Styela clava: one gene and its partner. The protein of the gene in region 1 interacts with the protein of each later gene in a biochemical or structural test. Links are inferred from orthologs where the notes say so. Each region holds a gene or a part of one and is shown on either strand. Other genes may lie near its edges. The genes, in order: origin recognition complex subunit 2-like and origin recognition complex subunit 4-like.

Region 1 (13,154 bases):
TCGGGTACAACATTCACAGTGTTACAAAAGCAAAAGTGGAAAACAATAAGCCTTGTGACGAAACTAAAATTAACTGCAATTTCAACAAATTTCTTTTTAGCTAAAACATCATAATATGGTTTTAGTTTAGTTGGCATCAGGCGGGCCAGATTGAATTACCCAACGGGCCGGATTTTGCCCATGACAGGTTAAAGACTAGGTTGAGTAACCCGCCTATATTAATTGGTAGGCAACTTCAGTGATCAGAACTGCAAATTCAGAGTCATACTTCCCAGCCCTGTCATTTCTCTGGAGAAATGACAGCAAATTCAGAGTCATACTTCCCAGCCCTGTCATTTCTCTGGAGAATATCTGGTAAATAAATATGAAATAAATGATTGCTTGATTCCTGACTCTTGCAGCGTGACTCACAAAAACACTGTTAGATTGCGGCTTCCTTCACTACCCATATGAACATATAACTACTGACCTTGTGATCATAGACTGTTTAATAAGTTTTTCCCTCCTAACCTGAGAGGATCCCTGTGGCCCAGTCCGAAGCACATAAGTTCAATCAAGCCCTCCCTATCTCAGCGGTTCCCAACCAGGGGCCACTGGCCCCCCACAGCAGCTGGAGGGGGCCCCAATGCTAGGCGCAAAACTGATTTCACTTTACAAGCAAACTCTCCTATTCTTCCCAGTTTCATTGCTTGATAAGGTTATTTCACAGGGTGTTTTCATTTTATAGAGCATGAATTGTTTGAACTCAACGTGATTTAGAATCTACCAATCAAAATAACACTATGAATACCTCTGGAATGATAAACAGGGAGCCATGAGCACTATAAGCATCTAAAAAAGGGCCACATGCTATAATAAAAGGTTGGGCACCACTGATCTAATCTCTCTACGACTCAAAATATGCCTTGCACATGATGAGGTTATCAATCCTCTATCCAGATCACACAGGTATTTTTGTGAAGATTTCAACAAGATTCATTGCAATTCAAATAATATATTGTATTCAAGAGGCAGCATTTGTAGAAACAAAATACACGATTGATTGAATACAGTAACATTTCCCAGCTGAGGAGAACCCCCCCTCCCAATTTTGTTATTTTCAGGGGGAATTTTGCATAGTATTTGCTGTAGTACAAATACTAATATTCTTTATTTGCTTATTCTAATGCTTATTTATATTTACCTTATTTATTTATAATTATTATTACCTTAGAAAATTAATTACTTGTACTGTACCAAATCGGAAATGCAAAATGTACTTAATACGTTTGAAGAACCCACAAACGACTGGAAAAATAAAGCAGTTTTTATACATATTAAGAAAGGAATAAAGAGTTCCGAAATAGTCGGAAAGAGGAATTTAGAGTAAAATGTAAGGAGACTGGAATACAGTAATGATTTAAATAGTCATTAAACCTCATTGTGTGGCACAGCATCCAAATACACTTTCAAGTGGCAGTGGAAAGCAATATAATAAATAATGAGAAAATAAATAGAAGGTTGGAATAATTTACACAAAATTAAAACAACGGTGAGCAAAAAAACGCAAATATTCTGGGTCCCGAGAAACTAATTACCTTGCCTATCAGTAACTGGTTGTACAGAGCCTAATTCAGAGTGAAAATGGAACAAGAACATCAGTCAGTTCATTTTCTCAATTAACTGGAGGATGAACATCTCAAGTGTGTTCAAATAATTTAAACAAAATTTGAACAATGGTAAGCAAAAATATGCAAATATTCTGGTCTTTTCAAGAATATTATCACATATCAGTGGAGCCCAGACATGGGTGAAAAAAGCAACTGAAAATCAATCAATTCAGTTTCTGAACTGAAAAGATTCTGGTCTAGTTCACAAAAAATGACAGCGAACTTCAGTGAAAATAAAACATGAATATCAGAGTGAAAATGACGGTTTCTGAACAGTGGATATTAGGCGAACAAAGCTTGGAGGAGTGTGAAAACACCTCAAAAACAAGTAATCACCTTCCATTCTAACAAAATTCCTCATTCTCAAAGTGATTGATCTAAATATTCTTGCAAAGTAGCGTTATCGAGGGGAATAGAGAGGTATTCGCCACCGTCAATACCTTTTTTGATTTCAACAAGTTTATGGTCGAGAAATTCCGTAAGTTGAGTCCGCAGCGTTAGTTCGCTGTTGACGAGAAACTTTTCACGACACATCTGATACAAATCAGAAAAAGAGAGTCCGATATAATTACTCGATTTTGACTCCTCGATTTGAAACTCTGTGAGAAGTTTAAAAATTCCTCGAGCATTAGGAGTTAAACTTCTTGCCACATGGACGAGGCCGCTTAGAGCTAATGAACCACCAATACCAGTTCCACTGGTCAACATAAGAAGCGAATCCTCAAATGAAGTTTCGTCTTTATAAGGTTCGTACGTTGTTACATCGTACCAGAGCCATTTGAATCGACATAACTTGGATTGGTCCCATATAAGGGGAGCATTTATGTGGTCTATGGTTGCAATAACATGAATCCGTGGACACGACGCTAGGCGACTTAAAATATTTTGAGTCTTATTGTTTCGTAAAGTTGTTCCATCAATATTGTGAATTATCAAGAATAAATGATCAACAAACCCATTGTCTGTGTATTTTTTACATATTGCGTCAACTTGAGCCTGCTGTTGGCTCCCTCCGATGGTGATATTTACGTCCGCAACCTCGCAAATTGACGCCAAAATTGAGCGTATAATTAAACTCGGAAAATAACCATTTATAACAATTTTATCAAACTCTGAGAGCATTTTTTCACAAAATTCATGCACTAGGTGGCGTTTTGATCCCAGTCCGTATAGTAGAATATTATAATCGTTAAAAATATAAAACATCCATTTACGAAAGTATTCTTCATAGCCTTGAATCAGCCACTGGCGAGAAAGCTCGATTTTTTCTACTTTGCTGAACATATGCGGATTAGAATTTTTTAATCCCGCGATTTTATTGTTCTGTAATTCCTCTAAGATAGAATGCATTGTTTCTTGGTTCATTTGAGGTATTTTTAGTCGTGCTAGAGTTCGATCAGAAGTACTCGCACCCAATTTTCTTCCACTTTTATGAGCCTCGAAATAAAGCTCTGTTTCCGATGGCAAGGCAATTCTTTTTGATGGCTGCGGCACTGGGGTTTGATCTAAGAAAAATATGCCAGTTAAGAAAATGATAAATTAACAGTTGAGTTCACAAATATATGGACAAGAATACCATAACAAAGTAGTAGGCCTATGTGTGGTGTATGCAATCTTTAACAGTAGACTACCAGTACCGCAGTTTTCATGACTTCGTCTGACTACCAGATAGCAATGAATGCGAAGCCGGCACATCATTGCACAAAAAAGATCAAATGCCATAGATACCACAGCAAGTTTTGAAATAAATTTTAGCCTTCTAGGAAAATTACAATCTTTAAACACTATAAATTCTAGAGGCAATTAGTCCAAGAGCGATTTTTCAATAAGGTAACTACGAAAAAAAAATACCAACACATCCTGCTGTGCGCTAGGAATATGTTCGCCACAACACCCAGCGAACTGGCAACCGGACGAGAGGCCGTGGTTTGCCATATAATTACGGTAAGCAATCTTATCGGCTCTCCCATCCTCCGGGATAAATATGTAAATCATAACCTATCTAAAACGATTCATAAGTCCATGCTGATTCGCATGAGACATGAACTCAACCAAGATAGTTTAATTCGCAAACCTTGTCGTTCATCTTGTTCTTCCTCATCTTCACTATTTTCCTCTTCACTGGAGTCAGAATTATCGTCAACTTGTTGATTAGCTTGCATCTCTTGAACAAGATATTTTTTTGTGCGATTCGAGGTTCTTGTTGGTGTATCAAGTGCATCGTTGTTCGATTTTTTACCTGGCGTTTTAGATGAACTGTCGGTGTCATTTTCAGCGAACTTAACACTTGGTGTTTTAGGCTCTATTTCTGTGGCTGGTTTGGAAGGTGTCTTAGAAGTCTTCGATTTTTTCTTCGGCGTTTTGGAGTTACTTTTTTCAACCAATGGATCGTTATTTTCATTATTCGCCGATTGTTTTGCACTGGATACTTTTCTTGCAGATTCAGACGCTAGTTTCGACATTTGTTTAGCTCGTTTCGGAGTTTTAAAACCGTACACATCTACTCCTCCATATTGTACGTTACTTTCAAGTAGAGATGTCGGAACGAGTGACGTGATTTCACTCAAAATGTCTTTTTCTTCATTTTCCGCATATTTGACGCTTTTTTCTTTCTTTTTAGGGTTCTCAGAAGGCTTTTTCTTCTCAATTTTTGGGACATCGTTAAAGAACTCCGCTGCTATTGCCATAGAAGATCTTGTTTTTCGTTGGTTCTTGACTCCAAGCATAGTAACGTGATGCTCCACATCTTCATTTCCGACATGTTTTACAAGAACAGATCGTCGGCTTGGGGTTTTTGACATGGTTTATTGAACTGGTACGAAAAATTTGGAAATAAACCTTTCTTCTTCTTCCAAATTCAGCCGAAATTTTTTGAGGATTCCAGATGTTAAGTTTCCAAAAAATAGTTTTTCAAGTTTTTTCTTTGTTAGTGTGCGAAAAGAAAAAATACACAACCAAATGCTCTACAGAGGCAAGGCGAGAAATAGCATTCCCGCTGAGCAAAGTATTAAAAGCTTTTTGAGGACTTGCTCCAAGACAGGTCACACACATGTCCAACTAAACGCATCTATACAAGTTCAAGAACACTCAACTTTGTAACCAAATGTTTTTCAGAGGAACGCTGTGTCACTTCTAGGACAATTGCTGTCACTTATAGGACAATATTTCCACGGTGAACTGATAATTGTGAACAGTTTTTATGGAAATTTCTCCAGGCCAGGTCACAGTTAATGCACTCTTGATTCTTGAAGTTTTCTGAATATTGTGAGAATCTCCTTTGAGTGAAGCTTCTGTTGCATATAACTATTATAAATTATGTTAAATTAACTAAAATAACTAAGTTAAACAAAAAAGCACAACAGTTGAGCATTCAGAATTCAAATTGGAACATATTATGAGCAAATAATATATTTATGACATAACAATAGGAGATTTGACAGCAAATGAAAACTGAGTTTTATTTTAGTTATATGGAGTTATGGCTGACCTAGTAATGTCAAAGGATAGTTATTTTAAATCAGAGGATATTCAAATCTAAGAATCTACTATTCTGAATACATTATAAGATGATACTTTTAAATATGGAACGACAAATTTTATTATAAATTTGAGATCTCTTTTCTTCGATTCTATTTTATCATAGATTAGGATAAGTTGGAAGGTAATAACCTAGCTTCTTATCTGAACTTATCTTATCAGTAAGATAAACAGTACAAAAAAAAATGATCAGAGATTTTGTAACAATAACACCAACAGAATAGTACTCAAAGCTGAAATATCGAATAATACAATCATTTGATGAAAATTAATCAAGATTTTCTATTAATATAACAGAACTTGCCAACCCAGGTAATGAAATATCATACAGAATGGTCGCTAGAAGAGCAGAAAATTTGAAAGTAAGACGAGATCATGAATAAAATGAGTATAGGTATAGGTTGAATTGGAACAATATCCCACAAGTTAACCTTCAAAACACTACACGAGCTTGGACTTCTAGGTTAAGACATCGCTCTGAAGTGCGTGGACATCATTTTGAGCATCTATAAGTGGAATATAACATACCGTATATGCTCGTTTTACCGCCCGATCTTGATTAAGGGCCCGTTTGAATAGTCGCCCGTGTGAACAGAACATAAAAACAAATAAGGGCGCTAAGGAAATAAGAAGCGCTTTTGTCACAACGGATTAATGTCGTCAAATATTTGTCTTCAAAGATATCGTAATTTTTGTGTAGAATTTTACTTTAAAAATAACAAGCGCCCTTGCTTGAATAAGGGCCGGTTTGAATAAGGGCCCCGGTTAGTGAGTTTTTAAAATAAATATGGGCCCGGGCTACAAAACGAGCAAATACGGTATGCCTTTGAAAATCTTTGCACAAGTTATTCTTTTTATAAATAAATAGCTGTTTGACAAATTTTCCTTTTTTCTAGCGACTCGCACTGTATTACGCTATATTTATGAAACTTTTAGAGTTTTGATATAAGTAATAACCATAAATAACAGAATAAGTTACCCAAAAAACTCAAAGAAGGAAAAATATATCACCACCAATGACTAAAAAGAATCAAAATGCCCAAAACTGAGAACACTTTTCAATAAAAAACAGCAAAAGACAGAATTTTAAATTTTTTTAAAGTTATTTCTGCAGAATTGAGAGTCATTTTAGTTAAATAATCCAGAATGTACTTTGTACATTTTAGCACGAATGTTGGTGTACATTGGCAAAGCTTCTGTGGGTCCGATAGCCGCAACAGCGGGGTCTTGGTCGTAAACGTATTTTTGCATCGCATCTTTGACATCCTGGGTTCCGATTTGTTGGATTCTCATTGTCATTTCTGGCCACGGGATTCGGCGTCCGTAACATAACATCTGTCTTCCGATGTCTTCGCAAATTGGGGTCGTCCCGTCCATCATAATTGCCATGTTAGTAAGAAGCGTGTTTTTCGCACGCTCAACTTCGAAATCTGAGATTTGGTGACAGACTCTCATTAACTCATCTTGAATACGGACCGTACAATCAAACACATTTGCGTTATCTGTAACATAATAAATTCCCCATAGACCAGTGTCAGTGTACAAAGTATTGAATGACTGGAAGCTAACGCAAAGGTTTTCGTTTGCCATTCTACGCATGAGAGGATTCGGAAAATGAGCTCCGTTAGTCGAAGAGCGATCCCATGTTCCAATAATTTGATTCGCGATCATCAGTGGTATGGTGTCATAGTGATCCCATCCAACTCCTTCAACTGCAAGGGCAACATGAACATATGGCATCCTGTCGTCCCGATGTCGCATATCACTTCCAGTGAAGCGGCAAGGTTTAAGGCTATTTGATAGGGATTCTGCTACACTGGATTCCGTAGCTCCAAAGTATTGCTTCGCTAATTCAACCAGTTTGTCGTGGTCGACGCCCCCCGCTGCTGCCATGACCATTGAAGATGGCTTGTATCGACTTTGGATATACGTTACCAAATCATTTCGTGTTATCGACTTGATGTTCTCACTCGGCCCCAAGATCGTTAAACCCAGCGGAGTATTTTGGTACGCAGTCGCATGTAAATAATCGAAAACAACTTCTTGTTGGTTTTGTTCGATTTCTTCCATTTCCCTCAAAATCACGCCTCGTTCGCGCTCAATCTCTGCTTCTCCAAGAGTGCTGTTTTGAATAATATCAGCGAGAATTTCGACGGCCTGTGGTAGATCTTTCGAAAATGCTTTCGCATAATACACAGTCTGCTCACGAGAAGTATAAGCGTTAAGATGTGCACCCATGTTTTCAATCTCCAATTCTAATTCCAATTGAGAGCGATTTGATGTTCCTTTAAACGCCATGTGCTCTAAAAAGTGCGCAGTACCGTTGTTCTTCTCGGATTCGTAACGACTTCCAGCGTCAATCCATAAACCAACAGTACATGTCGGTAGATCAGAATTTTCAGTTGCAATTCGGAATCCATTGGATAAAGTTGTTACTCGTGTTTCTGGAGTATTGACTTGTACAACAGCTCGTGTTGCATCTCCGCGTTGAACAACCTGCTTCAGCTGTCTCGCAGGCTTGATTAAATTCTTTGCAAATCTTGAATACATTTTATAAACTGGATTTAACTAAAATATTACAACCCAAACTACAGGGGAAACTAAAAAAACAAAAATAATATGGCAAAATGGGAAGAAAATATTCTCACGAATGCTGGTGGATATTTTTTGTTTTAGACAGTATCGTACAGTTCTCCGATTGCAAGAATAGCCTCCACATTAGAGAAAATGGGTCTCGTGTAGTTTCATACCAAATGTACTTCTAGTGGGCGTAGCATAACAATTTTTCGATATGTCAATTCTAGCCCCCATCTGACTACGCCATCCAAAAATTACGTCACTACGACATCACAATCACGTCACAGAGCTTGCCAAATATACGTACAATCGCCCGAAATGGCATTAGCGCCTACAATAAAGCACTGACTGACGTTATCGATCTCTTTCCTATTTAAATCGTTGCGACGAGAAAACGAGAGAAAAAACTGTTCGATTTAGGATAGGATAGGATTTACATATTTATCCCGGGGGAGAGGAAAGCCGATAAGACGGTTTATCCATATGGCGAACCACGGCCTCTTGTCCGGTTACCATTCCAAGTCGGGTATGGGATTAGTTATATTGTTTGTTTTCGGAAGCGTGGACTTGGTGGTGGAGGAAGCCGTAACCGACCAGCGGTTACGTGAACCACCCAACGACGGCGAGGAGCCCAGCAATCCTCTCGCACATAACCATCCCTGCATGGGATTCGAACCTGCGAACCCATGCAGAGTAATTAGAGGTGCGGTGGCGAGCGTATTCCTAACGCTTAGCCCGTTGAGCCACACCGCCGCGCGATTTCGAGTGATCGTTTGCGCGTCTTGGATGGCAGTTCATATAGTTTAAAGGGCTCTATTACGTCACCGTGACATCGTAATGATGTAATTTTTGGATGACGTAGTCAGGTGGGGGTTAGGATTGATACATGAAAAAATTGTCATGCTACGCCCACTAGAAGTATGTTAGGTACGAAACTACATGAGACGTGAGAAAATCAATTACTGTTACTGGTATAACTGTGAGTGCTAACCCCTTCTTTATGAGACTGTCAGGGTCTTCAAATCGGCAGAGTGCAAAAAAAAATAAAAGGACAATCAAAAAAAATCACCATTCAGCCATTGGATTTCTAGGAAAAATAATGGGTCTCATGTAGTTTCGTATCTAACATACTTCTAGTGGGCATAGCATAACAATTTTTTCACCTGTCAATACTAACCCCTACCTGACTACGCCATCTAAAATTTGCGCCACAGTGACCTAATATAGCCCTTCAAACTATACGAACTGCCATCCAAGACGAGCACCCGAAATCGAACAGCTATTTCTCTCGTTCTCTCGTCGCGATCCCGGGTCTCATGTAGTTTAGTACCTAACATACTTCTAGTGGGCGTAGCATGACAATTTTTTCACGTATCAATCCCAACCCCCACCTGACTACACCATCCCAAAACTACATCAACACGACGTCACAGTGACGTAATAGAGCCCTTCAAACTATACGAACTACTATCCAAGATGCGCAAACGAGCACCCGAAATCAAACAGTTATTTCTCTCGTTTTCTTGTCGCAACGATTCCAATAGGAGAGAGATCGATAACTCTCAGTCAGCTCTTCATCGTCGGGGCCAATTTCATTTCAGGCGATTGTACGTATATTTGGCAAGCTCTATGACGTGATTGTGATGTCGTAGTGACGTATTTTTGGATGGCGTAGTCAGATGGGGGTTAGGATTGACATATCAAAAAATTGTTATGCTACGCCCACTAGAAAAACGTTAGGTACGGTACGAAACTACACGAGACCCGCGATCCCGATAGGAGAGAGATCGATGACATCAGTCAGTTCTTTAACTTCGGCGCGGTGGCTATTTCGGGCGATCGTACGTCTATTTGGCAAGCTCTATGAGGTGATTGTAATGTCGTAGTGACCTAATTTTTGAATGGCGTAGTCAGATGGGGGTTAGGATTGACATATCGAAAAATTGTTATGCTACGCCTATTAGAAGTAGGTTAGGTACGAAACTACACGAGACCCAAAATAATCCGGTACCCTATAAAAAAAATCAGAATAGCCATAGCAGTAGGTATGGCTGTATGGTCTGATACCGGTACTGATGGTACCGGTAATACGGTACGGTACCGGTACCAGTATTTCAAAGCTGAGCACGATGCGCCACACCGCCGAGCCTTGACATCCCGTCGCAGGATGTGTTCAAGATATACCGTAACGTATGTAATCAAACTTGTTGAATCTTGAAAATAAGCCTTAAACTTGGAGAATAGGGCAGCAAAAGAATACTAGCAAACGTCAACCAAAGGACAGCAGAGCCAACCATGCATGTAATTCGACCTTTCTTGATCTTTTCATGACCCACGTGATAAAAGGTTGTTATCAAAATATATGCTTGGATTAATCTAAATGCCTACTAGAAGTCATTCAGTTTTAAGTTTTTTTCGAATTCATTTGAACTTTTTGTTCTAGTTTTACAATAATAATTAGCGCTGAATTACTGGAAGATAAGTGAAATACAAACACTAAAAGCGCTATTGATCTGGAGGATTTCACCTCCAAGGTTGTATCTACACAAAAATATCCCATACTGGTAACACACGAGCGAAATTTACGTCAAATAGAATGCATTAATATCTTTGGGGATACCTGTATGACCACGGAAAAAACGAATGAACAAAGCTTTAATTTTTTCTCAAAATTCGCCACTACAAAACCCTCAATGCCTCAGACAGAATACTCCGCTACCGCTACTGTCAACTGTCAGGTGCTCCGTGGCCCAAGTTTATGTGCATTGGTGTTTTAAAGGTAAGTAATTTAAAATAGCGTGGGTCACGTTAAGAATCATTGCAAGGACAAGCAAGTTCATATTATGCCATGTGTGATGAGAGAAGATTTACATATTTATCCCGGGGAACAGGGAACTGATAAGACGGTTGAATAATATGGCGAACCACGGCCTCTCGTTCGGTTACCATTCCATGTTGGGTATGGGATTAGTTAGCCAGTTATTTGTTTTCGGAAGTATAGACTTGACTTAAAGCAATTTAACGCAGATTGAGGAATCCGAAGTAATTTAGCGTGACAAATAAAAATAAACAATGGCTGTGTTAATAAAAACACACTGGTGAATTTTTTTACACATTCTGTTCATTTTTATGCCTATCGCAACTCAAACCATCCACCTCCAAACATCCAGTTTGCCTAGAATTACATCTTTATATTTATATAAGATTTTAATATACAATCTCGGGTTGTGGAACATAGTTACAGGTTTGAGTGTGTAGGTACAGTGTCGAATGGAGCCAGTGCTGTGAATCCCTTGGTTACGTCCTTCCAGGACCATCTATAGTGGGCCTCGCGTCAGGTGTAAATCAACATGTACTCAATAATAATTCTATACTGCATGAGGTTTCCTTCACACATGCCGTGTGAAGTTATTTTGATCACGATTTAGTAGTTAGTTGAAACGAAATAAAATGTTTTAAGACGAATTAACTTCATTTTACAAAATTTTAATTTTTCACACTTTTACCCAGACTAGGTGCCCGTCTATCAATTTTGCCTATGGCTCCCAAAAGTTAACATAGGTTACCAAATATATCCAGGACACACGTTGCTTATTTGGCCATCGTCAGCATGCCCTCAACAAGACTTGCTCAATCAGCTTTAGGCTTGGGATTTAGGCTATATATATTTATCGCGGGGGAGAGTAAATTCGATAAAATGGTTTAATTATATGGCGAACCACGGCCTTTCGTTCGGTTGCCAGTCCATGTCGTGTATGGGATTAGTAAGCCAGTTGTTTGTTTTCAGATGGACTTGATCCTTGCAGCCCTATATATACACAACGCGGCCTCATTCTTGCGTGGGAGACTGTGATGAACCGAATTTTATGTCCTATTAAAATAAAAGCGGTCACAACCACCAAATCCTTATTGAGTGTAACAATATAACGAGCAGGGAAACCGCAGAATTGTTGATTATATTTGGAAGACAGGAAAAAGTCACAGTTTTTCCATATCGTATAGGTGTATACAGGGTGACCATAAAGTCCCTTTATAATTTCAAAATGAAGTCAGTCCTCAATATATCTCAACCAGGTTTGTTGTTTTTTAATCAGTAAATGTTCCCACAGCAAAGTTTGAAAATGCGCCCCCTTGATCGTTAACTGGAAATTTTTAATGACTGTTGTTGAATTGAGGTACTTGTATGTTGTTATTCTAGTAAAAATACGAGTTTCAATTATTTCCAATTTGAAATTATTTCATTGAAACATTTTACGATTTTAACTTAACTTTTTAAGACTTCACGGACACCCTATAGGCCTATATTATAATACCATTTGACCTATTATTTCAGGTACCAAAGTGAAAATTTATTATTGCCAAAATCTGAAACTTATTTCGCGCAAATCTCAGTACACATTTAGAATTATAGTCAAATCAGCAATAAAGTGTTTATACGAGGCGTTTTTAAACCTTCACGTTCCGAACAAATAGCATATACTATATACATTCATATCATACTTCTGCCTTACGATACCATTGCGTATACGTTAGTTCTCTCATATGACGATTCCACGTTGTACGTACGTTTGTACAATGTTGTCTCGTTTTTTCAATTGCTTGTTTATTCATTATATTTACTTCGTATATTTTACTTCACTTACACTGCACATGTATCTGACTTGTATCTATCAATATGAGCACTTGTAATACAGTGTATTACTAGTGTATTAAATACACTATTGTACCGTGAGGGGGGATGTAGGGCTGGGCATTTTTGAATACTTGGTGATTTCAGAATCAAATTGAATATTTTTTTCGAAGCGAATCTCGAATACTTGGGAGATATATAATTGTATGTGATTTTTTTTTATTGTAATTGGTCCTATCAACACATGAATTACTGAAAACGTAAAATACATCACTCAGACAGATTGCTGATCGTTAACACACAATAGGAAAAACGTTTTAATCAGTAACTAACTACAGAAACGACCATTGGCGGAAGGAAAAAAAAACAAGATGGCGGCGATTCGAAATTATTTGCTCTGAATAACATAACATACGGTTCGAAATGTCCAACCCTAAAGCGATGTTGATATTTCTGAGTGCTTTATGTTGTATATTTTTGGGACAACAGAATAGCTGAGTATTTCGTCAATATTCTTAAGACAGTTAATAGTCGTTTAGCGAGGAAGACGGTCTTTCTATTACTGTCGATCGCCGTCGTCTTTAAACCCCGCTATGTTACATGCTCTCAAACTATAATTACTTTGTATCCTTATTCTTTCTCTCAGCAAAGTGTAAGATAAAAGGTATTTATTGCAAAAATTCCGATATTTAATGTAAAATCTCATTAAAGACATAGAATTATATTCAAAATAGAAGTGATTTGCTTTACAGGTCAAAATC
Region 2 (12,456 bases), on another chromosome or scaffold:
TTCGCAATTTATGATGGGGGACTTATTATCTGCATGTGATGTAAATTTCAAGTCTCTAAGTAGTGTCGTTCTCAAGAAGAAGATGAAAATGTAAAATCCTATATTGCTTACTGGAGCGTATCGCCGAGGTCACTCATGCGTGTCCTTGACATATCGTATCCGGAACATGTCCATTAATCATTGTTATGAATTTCAACCCAATAGCATGTATTAATTTTGAGAAATCGCAAAAAAACTGAAAACGCGTTTTGTTCACTGGAGCGTGAAAGCGTGGTCAGTCATGCATAAAATTTGCATTCCATTGCTAGCTGAGAAGTTCTGCACATTTGAGGTGAATTTCAAGTTTGTAGGACCAATTTGAAAAAAAAATAATAATAATAATAAATAAATAATAATAATAAATAATAATAAAACACAGGAATACAATAGGTTCCCTGCTGACAAGCAGCGGGAAGCCTAATTATGCTCTAAACCTAATCTGGCACACATACTACGAGAGTATGTTATTTCTACCCAATGTATTATTCAATATCAGTATCAACTATTAATGCATCTACGATAAATATTTATCACCTCTGTCAACTTATTACTAATAAACTGTGAAACACAGACACCCGAATACCCCAATTCTATAGCAATAAGTACTAGCAGATAGTTTATTAGATAACAGTATGTACATTTAATTTGTTTTCACAATGCTTTCATGGATTCAGGGCCTGCTTGTTCAAAGTTTTGTAATGATTGAAATATTTATAAAAACTGAATTAATTTCCACGAGAAGTACCTACATGAATTTATTGATGCAAGTAATTTTCTGGTATAACATGACCTGGAATCAGTCGAATGTAAACAATTCAATATCAGAGATTTACATTACCGTTATGTATCAGAATAGTGAATAAAATACTATACTCACATCGCTCATAATCCCAAAACCCAACTATGGGTAAAATGTGAAGTGTAGCCCAGTCTAGTGTTGAAGCAGAATTACATTAATATTTATTATTTGTCGAAAAATAAGATTCTGAATGAAAGAAAATTTATTACTAGACAATAACCATATACTGATTAGGAATCTGAAAATGAATATAGAAAATAATTTTTTTTTGAACATAGCAGACACAGGTACTAAAACTTCGAACAATCTTCTATCATGTATGTTTAATTGGATTTTGATGTTATATGGTAAAAGATGACAGGATTAATCAATAACCGCTGATCATTGGGGGCAACAACATCAATCTGTTGGAAAATGTATGTTCAAAAAACATTTTTTATCTGAAAATAACAAATAATGAATTAATGATCTCATTTCCCAAATCTTTATTTTTTTGTCAAGTATGGTTTCGATGCAAATTTATAAAAAAGCAAACATGCCCTTATGAAGTACGGTACATTATTTGTTCCTCATTGTGTGTATTGTAAAACAAAAACACATAATCATTATTATCGTAGTCCAGGGTTTCCCAAACTGGGGTCCGTAACGACTACACATGGGGTCCGCAGCGATATTGAGAGTCTGAAACATATACCGGTACATTTAACGTATATCCACTGTTACATAGACATTCATAAACGAGATAAAGTTGTAAGTTAACGCAATCACAAATGGTAATGGTTACGAGACCTTAACAATGGGAGTCACATAAATTGGTATAACATGAGGGTCCGTAAAAAATAATATCCACAAATAGGGGTCCGTGGCCCAAAAAGTTTGGGAACCTCTGCCGTAATCTATAATGTTAATATTGCCAGAAAATACTTCTCAAAGAAGGAACAATTCTCAATACTATCTGTGTGTGTTGTTATGCCCTCATAGCTTGTTCATACAAATTATTCAAGTGATGACATAGCCCATTGCCTTAGATCAGTAGGACAACCATTGTATTTGTTTATCGCTTCATGAAGTTGGCTTTGTTCGATTAATAGAGACATCGGCCTGTATTCCTTTTGAAGTTTGGATCCAACACCAGCATGAACACCAGTTGCACTTGAATACATAGGTTTAATCAGTTCCAATTCTATCAAATGCTCATAGGCTTTCATGACAACCTGTTTAGAATAGTTTTGCAAGATATGGGATCTTCTTTTCGCAAATTTAATATATTCATTATAAACCATTTGAAAATTAAAAGGCTCTGCGTAGATATTATTCAGGTGGTGCATTGCAATAACCAGACAAAGTTCCAAGACAGAAAGTCCATGTAGTACATTTGCTTTGAAATCACAATGTAATGTATTTATTGCATCGACTATTTCACCTGCAGTATCTGATGGCTTTGCAAACGGATCTAATTTAAACAATACGAGTGCAAGCGCAGTGTACAACGAAGAAACTTCCTTGCAAATATCAAACTGAAATTGAAGTGACCGAAGCACTGATGAATCAGATGTAATTTTTTCAACAAAATTATTCCACTGCTTCAGAAATTTATTTTTCTCATTCTTGTTTCCAGCAAATGTTTTAATATCATCCGCATTGAGAGTGAGTAAGTCCTTGAAAGTTGCTACATATTGATCAAAATTACTTCCATTATGAATATATATTTGTCTATGTGAAAACCTCGATTTTACTCTTTTTTCTAACAAATCCATAACATCAAGTCTACAAGTGAGACCTATTACTGCCATAGGTGTAGTACCCGCCTGCGTAATATCAAAAAGGTTATACAACAGGGTTTGATTTTTATGCATAGCAAAAAGCTCAAAATTGTCCAAAACGAAAAGAATAGGGCAAGAAGTTGACGATTTGCCTGTCCGCAAAGCTTCCAATAAAAATGCTAAATTTTCCGAAAAAGAACCAAACACGCGATCTCCAACTGTATTCTCAAGATGTAATAGTCTTGTAATTTCTTCTAATGCAATTCTGTCATCAGTTTGAATTAAACCATTTAAATGTACTTCCATCAAATTTTTCCCTATGTTAACATCTTTTTTAATGTTTGTTAAAGACTTTTTCAGTAATGTTGTCTTGCCAGATCCGCTTGGACCAATAATAAGAAGTGAATTGCTTTCTCCCAATTCAACTGTTCGTTTTAATAACTGTTCTATGTTTAGAAAATATTGATTCATATCCTTGCGAATATTTTGAGGTGTAGATAACCCAGCCATTCTTTTCCTGATTAAGTCGTGTGCTGAACTCAAGAGGCTCATTATTATGTATGGCTGTATAGTGTAATTTGATGGAACAGAATTAAAGAATATCTGGTGAACAAAAAAATGAAAAATAAAAATTTTTGCATACAGTCAGACAGTCAAGCACAAAAAATAAAAAAAAACTATTACTGCATGCTGACATACAGACATAGTACAGTCAGACAGTAGGCTAGTAATGAAATGAAGACTGCATCCAAAAATCAGAATTACATACATACCACCTTAGTCAGACAAATAAAATGATTTCCAATAGGATTACGATTGACAAACTGACAAGGAAGCCACTTGACAAATTCACATAAATATTTTACCTATACAGTACGGCACACTATACAAGTCGGGTGACATTGTCCTAATTCAGAGAAACCCATTTTACAGATGATCAGACACCCCTCCTTAGGGAGACGTCTGGACATTGTTGTCCCTCAATATCGGTAAAAATACAGTATAATAAAGTTGCGCCAAATACTACAAATAAGCGCAATTTAGTAACGTCATCATTGAATTCCTCGGAAAAAAATAATCCGATTTATCGAAAGAAAAAATTTTTACCGTAGCATTTGAGAGTTTTTAGCAAAAAACAGCAATTTTGGTCATGTGGCGGCCGCGATTAATTTAGAATATTATTGAGACAAGCATGGCGCGATATGAAGCATCTAACGTGATCCCAGACGCCCCACCTTTGTGAGACACATAAAGTGTTTGTTTTTATTGAGCCAAATGGAGGGAAATTCTTGGAATTTGGATAGTGTGCTGTATTGCTATAACAGTATAATAGAGGCTCTAGTTACTGAGTTAGGATTTTTTTTTTATGTGGTAAAAACAGGAATACTCCAATATTCATCACATTACATAAAATGTTACCATCCAATAAGATCCCCATCACCATTGTATGTTCCATTAATTCAGCATCGGTATTGCTATTTCAGTGGCTCCCAAACTTTTTTTTGTCGCGACCCCAATTTTCATAAAATCAAAGCCCACAGATACTCGCGACCCACAACTAGAAACGTTGAGCAACTTCAGAAATCAGTACTATGTATCATTTTAAATACCTCAATGGGAACAATGTACCAGTATATCTACTGTAAATGGACGTTGACGATGAACATTGGCCCAAAAATATATGAACGAGTCCGTCAATGCGCCAGAAAACGGGGGAACTTCGGAAGATTTGATAACACATGGCATGATATGAAAACCACAGTGTAAAAATCTCTTAGATCAGGATTTTAACGGTTCTTTAGCGAAACCTACAGTACTAGACGGACTTGATAAAATGTGGTAGATTGTAACTGTAAGGAAGCTTATGATACTTCGGAAATAGTGAGATTTGGAGATAGTAAGATGCTTCTAAATATACATAAATTTTAAATCTTATTTAGTATATTCCAACAGTGTCTTTATTATTTTGATTACAATGTTAACATAATACAGATTGCTCCATTAATAATTTTAAATTAAAACGGAGCATGAGAGTAAAATAGGGAAAACGTGAACGAAATCACATCTTTCAGGTGCCTTCTATTATGCTAAAACTTGTTGTGGTTTTGTGTTTGACTACTCGGAACGCTTTGAAAGTATGTATGAAACTTCTGAATACGTAATATCGCAATACGAAAACGTTCACTTTTATGTGGGGTCAATGTGGGCAAAACACGCAGCCGACTCATAGATTTTGGACACGTGCGCAAATTAACAAAGTGCTTTCGCAACTGATCAAAACCTACAGTGCCAATACTCCGCCAAGACACCGCCTGGTAATCAATACCAAACATGTCAAACACCTAACTAAGGACCGTTCGCCAAATAAAGCAACTTTGCTTTGTATCTTCCAAACCAAGCGGCTACACCAGTAGTTCTCAAACTTTTTTTGCTCACGGGGCACTAAGCAAATGAAAAATATCCTGCGGCACACTTGTAACAAAATAAAGTTATCCTTAAACAAATTATTCTGCAAATGTTAATGAGATGTGTGTGGTCTGTTTTGAGAAACAATTGAAATGATGTTCCGTCGCTCCCTTTTTTGCTTTTAATTTCAGTCATAGTAGAAAATCACTCTTACTACTGTACTACATCGATAAGGCAAATGTAATTATATTACCAGTCTAATACCGGATACTCAAGTCTCACAAGCTTGCCCGTTGCATGCATTCCAATGTCTGAATGTGTAACACGAATAGCTTATTTTCTAAAATTTCAAAAAGCTCCGTTGCACACCTGAGAAGCTCTTGCGACACACTAGCGTGCCGCGGCATACAATTTGAGAAACGGTGGGCTACACAGATACAAAATAAAAAACCAACGTAATTTCTCGCAGACTGGCAATGGTCTAAATCCAATTCGCTTACCAGCGGGTCTACAATTTATTTGAATGTAAGATGATCAAAAAAGCTATAAAAAGAATCGAGCCATTCTGGCACTGTTTGGACAACAAATGGTCAAGATATTGCTAAAAATCCTAAGTTTGGAAATTTTACGGTATTTGCCAGCAAAAATTTCACTATACAATTTTCAAATTCTATTCACTTGTGTGTGTATGTTCGGCAGAAGTTAGGCGACCCCAAAAAATCGGATGGGGTCGCGATCCACAGTTTGGGAACCACTGGTCTCATTTATTCAAATACCGGTACCGGTACATATTACCGGTACAGTATTATCCAGTTGGTTGTATCAAATTTTCATGTTGTTAATGTCATAAATGAACAATAGTTACATAAAAAATGACAATTAGCAAATGAAAATTTTACACTATTTCTAATAGACTAAATTAAAACAAAATAATCTTATCTTACATCTAGTTCTGTAGTTCAGTACCGGTAGTTACAGACTGCTGGACTGTACGAGTTCTTAATCATCATACAAAACTAAAACAACGCAAATTGAGGCTCTCAACAGAGACTGTATCTAAATTCCCATTTATCCTGTAGTACCGTAGGCTACTGGTACCGGTACCGGTACCGGTACGGTACTGTCTGACTGTAGTATCTGACTTTAAACACACATAATTATTCAAGCTAATCTAGTCAAATTCTAATAGCTGAAAGACTGCTTAGACTTTAACCGTATTTACGCTTTAACAAACTGACAAAATTCCTAACAACTACCGGTACGGTATGCAAATTCCAGTGATACCGGTACCGTAACCCTTCAGGGGACGGACTGAAAGTAGGCACCTAAAAATTAGGCACCTATTTATGCACTTCGGAAAAAGGGTAAAATGGGCGTAATATCTTTTAAAAAGACAATGAATTAGGTAAAAATAGTCAAATTAAACATTGAACACGCAAAGTACAACAAGTAAACCCAAAAATGATACTGTAGTTGAAACGTAGTACTAAAAGTCGCACGCGCTCTCTCACCAAATACGCTAGGCACTTCAAAAAAATGAAGAATGTAATCAGTCAGTAATCAGTAATTTATTTTTTCATCATGCTGAAAAATACGAATTCTACATACACAATTTAAAAGAAATATATAAAAAAAATCGCATTTTAGGGTGAAGGGAGACGCCGAAAACCAAAGCTGGTTATCGAGCGGCGACACCGTTGAGAAAGTCTAACAAAACGCGATAAATACAATAAATTATCACCAATAACAATAAAAACCGAGAAATAAAAATATAAGTCACATTAATTAGCCTGAGTGAATATCCGATGAATGCACTTGAGTCTAGTAGTGGTATTGAAGAATAATAAACCCGTCCTGGCGCGGCGGTGTGGCTCAACGGGCTAAGCGTTAGGAATACGCTCGCCACCGCACCTCTAATTACTCTGCGTGGGTTCGCAGGTTCGAATCCCATGCAGGGATGGTTATGTGCGAGAGGATTGCTAGTCTCCTCGCCGTCGTTGGGTGGTTCACGTAACCGCTGGTCGGTTACGGCTTCCTCCACCACCAAGTCCATGTTTCCGAAAACAAACAATACAAGAGAGCTATGCTCAAATATATGGACACGTAGCGCCCCCTAAGGGCAATAATTCTGATGCCGTCATTGCAGTAAAAAAAAGTAATAGCCTTCTGAAGAAAATTTTTATCTTCAACCACTGAAAATTTCAAAGCAATTGGTCCAGTCATCACAGAGAAAAGCGACTTTTTAAAAACGTGTCAAAGAACAAGAACAAGAACAACAACAACAACATAATATTGAAACGATCGCTATGTCCACTACGTGTCCAATAACTTATCCCACAACCGACTTGGAATGATAACCGGACGAGAGGCCGTGGTTTTTCCATATGGATAAGCCGTCTTATGGCTTTCCTCTCCCCCTGGATAAATATGTAAATCCTAAATTGTTACAGGAACCGGTTATGACTTTTCATGCACTTTGGAAAAATAATGAAATGGGCGTAATACCTTTTGAAAAGAAAATGAATTAGTTAAAATTAGCCAAATTAAATGTTGAACACGAAAAATGCAACCAGTAAATCCATTAATTAGGATTAAAACGTAGTTTTAGAAGAAGTCGCACGCGCTTGATCACCACATACGCTAGGTACTTGGAAAAAGAAATAAATCATCACTAATAAAAGACTATAAATATAAAATATAAATGCTAGTGATACTAGGTGAATTTTCGATGAATGCATTTGAGTCTGGAAGTTTTATGCATGAATTATAAATTGGTACAGGTAGGCACGATCGACAAGGCAATTTTATAGGAATTTAGGAAAAAGGGGGAAAATGGATGTAATAACTTAATAAAATAATGAATCAGTTAAAAATAGTCGGATATGATATAGAACAGATTATAGATAGACCATGCAAGGTGCAAAGGGTGAACCCAAGAATGCGGGTTGTAACGTAGTATTAGGTAGGGGTCCATGCTCTTGATCACAACATATCCTTCGCTCTTCAAAAATGAAAGGAGGCTAATCACTAATAAAAGACGATAATATGAATATATTGGTGCTACTGATTACCCTAGTCATAGTTGAATATCCAATGTATGCACTTGCGTCTAGTTATTTTGCTCAGGAATATTAAATTGCCACCAGCTGGCACGATTAGGCCCTTTTTAGGCATCCCGGAAAAGATGAAAATGGGTGTAATCGTAAATATATGATGTAATAACGTCTGAAAACGTAATAAATACAGCCAAGTTCAATGTGAACATCTAACCTAGGGTCACCATATTTGAAAAAGCAAAATTCCGGACAGTTCATGACCCAGTGGCGGCGCATCAATAGGGCCAACCGGGGCAATGCCCCGGTTGTTTTTTCGGTATAATAAAAAATATTGGAAAAATACCTCAATATCGGTTGCACAGACTGTCTACACTAGCCATATTCTCCCGATATGGTTCATTTTTCGCTCGCAAAGCCTTCGCCGAACGTCGACGGGGCGACGCCGATTTTGCCCCGGTTGCTCATTGTATATCGTATTCTCTCTTTTATCTTCCACTCGCCGCGTTTGTCTCGTTTGTTTTCTGTTTCTTTTACTAAATCATCAGGGCCGATCGGGGCTAGCCCCGATATTATGACGACACAATGCCGACGTTTCTTACAACAACGTGTTGACTTATTCACGCATTCCTTCTCGTTCGTTGGTTGCTTGAAGAGTTGATAGTTTCCTCGCCTTCGTTTTTGTTGCTTGTTTCGCTATTTGAATCAGTTAGAGACCTTTAGTCCATTTGCTTTCGATTTTCCACATTCCTTTTGAGCTCCTCACTTCTTTCCGGCTTCGCATTTCTTAGCCTTAGACCTCATAATGAATAAGGTTGATGCACTACTTCGCACTCCGTTTTCGCAGCTCCCGCTGGAACAAAAACTAGAGGTACAACGTCTTGGGCCTTATCAACCAAAAAATTGTTCACTGGAACAATCCCATGACGGAGGAAAGCGTCGGCGTACATTCTGCGCAGAAACTTGGTATAAAAAACACGAATGGTTGTGTTACAGCGAGGACAAAAATGCACTTTTTTGTTTTTATTGCCTACTTTTTGCTACCGCCCGTGACTCACGTTGGTGTAAATTTGGTTTTAGAGATCTTAATCATCTTTCCGAGCGTGCCAGGGATCATCAATCTTCTATGGAGCATCTGGACAATGCAGTAAAATACCGAACATTCGGAAATGTTATTATTGCAGCACAGTTGGATGAAGGACGCGCGGTTTCTATTCGTCGGCACAACCAAAACGTCGAGAAAAACCGCCATGTTCTCGGTCGATTGATAGATGTTTTGAAGTTCATTGGTTGTCACGGGCTGTCCCTCCGTGGGCACGATGAACGGGCTGGCTCTTCTAATAGAGGGGTATTTTTGGATATGGTGGAATACACCGCATCCCTAGATACAGTATTGAGAGATCATCTTGATGCCGCAACTGTGTCGAAAGGGACATCTAAGGATATCCAAAATGATTTTCTCGACTCAATGTATAAAATTTATTTACAACATTTGGCGCGGCAGTCATGAGTGGGTGTTCAAGTTTATATAAAAGAAGATTTTCCTCGTGCGCATTTTTTACATTGTTATGCACACCAATTTAACCTCGTTATTAAAAATATGTGTCTTGATACCCCTCTCGTCCGTATATTTTTTGCAAATGTTTCGGGGTTTTCTTCATTTTTTTTTCGTTTCGCCGAAGCGCTCTGACCTCCTTCGCCAGATATGTAGCCGCCGTCTTCCAGCTTGTGCACCAACACGTTGGAACTTCCAATCACGCGTGGTGCAGGGCGTGTCCGAAATTAGGTCTGAGCTCATTGAGTGTTTCAATGGCATTCAGAGCTCTCCGGTTTGGGACGAACGCTCTGTGAGGGAGGCGGCAGGTCTAAAGTGTCTGCTAGAAGATGGTGAGTTTTCATTTTTTCTCGCTTTTTTCTCCACAATATTCTATCACGTGGATGTATTATACGGCGCATTGCAGTCAAGGCTAATGGATGGAGCGTCTGTGCAGTCGTGTATTTCAGACTTCTGCGATGCTGTATCTCGTATTCGGGAAACAATAAAATACGACGACACATGGAGTGCTTCTTTACGCCGCGGGCAAACAACGCAGCGTTTGATTTTGTCTGCAAAGGAATGCTGTGACATTCTGGTGAATCAAATAGGCGATCGTCTGCGCACTGAACACCTTGCCGCGTTCTCTTTGATGAACCCCAAAAATTTTTCAAAATTTGCACGTCAATTTCCCATCCATTTGTTGGCTACTGTCTCCAAATTTTACCCCATGATAAACGTGAGTAAATTGGAAAATGAATTGCGATGTATATACACCAATCAAACTTTTTTGAACATCACATCAACTTGCGCGCTCTATGGGTTCCTCATAGATAACACTCTAGAGTCTAGTAACTACTTTTGCGGCGTCTGCAAAATTTCTGGACATCATTTTGACGACGCCTATTTCTTCCGCCGACGCAGAGCGAACATTCAGTAGGCTGAAGCGTATTAAAACGTATCTCAGAAACACAATGAAGCAAGATAGATTAAATTCCTTGGCTGTTTTATCCATTCACAGAGACGTTATTCCAGGATGCATGACTTTAATCAGCGCGTTATTGAGCATTTTGCTTCCAAGAAACCGCGGCGTGTTGCATATATGTTCAAGCAGTAGAAGTCTAGCAGCATATATATCTATGAGTGAGCGACGCATGTCCTTATCTTTGCATTAACTTTCCTTTCTTCATAGTAACGTTTTAAACCTTATTTTAGGTTTTGTCTGCTTTCCCGAAGTTTCTGTTAATATGTCATTGTATTTATCTGGGTAAATATTGCCTTTCCTTTTGAAAGAGGTTTCAAAATAAACTATGTCTATATTTATTAATCCCTTGACTTGGACCGGTTTTAAAGACACTTTCTTATCGTTAAAAATTGTCGCTTTTGCCGATTGGTTGTTACCGATGGAATGGTTTTTATACTCATAAAATGATGGGAGAACTTACAGCGCTCATCCTGTCCCCGTAGATGGGGGTGACTTGGTCCCGCAGTAGCTTGCCCCGGTTGTCAAAATGACCACGCTCTGGTCACTGTCATGACCTCGTAGTAAAAAATATGAGCACGGTACGAAATAACAATGTTCTTTATTAGCAGTGTGCACAGTACGATTGCAGATGCAGTAAAATTCCGGATTCCGGACATTTAAGCATTTTTTAAATTCTTCCCGGACGCAAAATTTAACCCTAAATTCCGGACATGTCCGGAATTTTCCGAACGGTATGGAAACCCTAATCTAACCCCTACTGCAACAAGCCGATATACGTTTTTGTAATTTGTTATATGCCTTTTATTTATCTCATATATATCGTATATTGATTTTGCATGACGAAAATAAATATCTGAATCTGAGTCGCACGCGCTTGATCGCCTTGGAAGAAAATGGGATTTATCACCAATAAAATACCATGAAATAAATATTGGTCATACCAGCTGCTACATCTGGGGGCATATTTTATTTTTCTTTGTTTTTAGCAATTGATTTATCGTCGGTTTCGCTGATTACAAAGTTGAAATACATTATAGGCCTACTGACATTAATGTGCTCTAACGCACTTGACCACCCTTCACGCCAGACACTTAATTTGTCTTCTTCGTTTAGCTTAGCACTTACTAAAGAACAAGAGAAGAATTGCAATCATACTAGTTATCCGAGGCGCATATCCGATGTATAGGCCTACACCTGATTCTAGTAGTTTTAATCAAAAATGATAAATTGGTACCGGGCCCAGTCGCAGACTCTCTGAAAAATAGAGAATGCTCAAACATACATCCTATAGTCTATTCTGGTTTACTCCTATAAAACATTTAATGAAAAGTGAAAAACACAGAGAAACACCTGTGGGCCGAATAAACCCAATAATGACGCACAAAGAACCGCACAAATATTTTTGGTTAGGTATTTTTTAAAAATTTAATGAGTTTGTAATGATTTCTGTGATTGATTTCAGGCATTCTAGTAATTAAAAACAAATAGCTCACTAAGGAACCGGAATCTTGTCATTCTAATTAAAAATGGTAAATTAAGATCGGTGGCACAATTGCAGATACTTTGGGAAATAGGAAACTGATCGTCAATAAAACTATTATTGGACACGTAGTGGACATAACGATCGTTTCAATATTATGTTGTTGTTATTGTTGTTCTTGTTCTTTGACACGTTTTTAAAAAGTCGCTTTTCTCTTCGAATACTGGACCAATTGCTTTGAAATTTTCAGTGGTTAAAGATAAAATTTTTCTCCAGAAAGGCTATTACTTTTTTTTCGCTATGACGTCATCAAAATTATTGCCATTGGGTGGCGCTACGTGTCCATATATTTGAGCATAGCTCGCTTGTTATATAACATTATGTATTTTAATCATAG

The links.
Region 2: the proteins of origin recognition complex subunit 2-like (region 1) and origin recognition complex subunit 4-like form a complex in vitro, tested with the Drosophila melanogaster proteins (3 studies listed by BioGRID, with this or other methods). The link is inferred for Styela clava from reciprocal best matches to the Drosophila melanogaster genes Orc2 and Orc4.

The regions. Positions count from the first base shown.
Region 1 is NC_135262.1:2,454,456-2,467,609, reverse strand, and holds origin recognition complex subunit 2-like, read right to left. Parts: upstream 4,833-13,154; 5' UTR 4,451-4,832; coding exon 3,724-4,450; intron 3,155-3,723; coding exon 2,013-3,154; 3' UTR 975-2,012; downstream 1-974. Other genes in the region: mitochondrial-processing peptidase subunit beta-like, read right to left, coding at 6,315-7,736. UniProt on the Drosophila melanogaster protein: Component of the origin recognition complex (ORC) that binds origins of replication. DNA-binding is ATP-dependent, however specific DNA sequences that define origins of replication have not been identified so far.
Region 2 is NC_135254.1:23,094,940-23,107,395, reverse strand, and holds origin recognition complex subunit 4-like, read right to left. Parts: upstream 5,318-12,456; 5' UTR 3,154-5,317; coding exon 1,834-3,153; 3' UTR 1,076-1,833; downstream 1-1,075.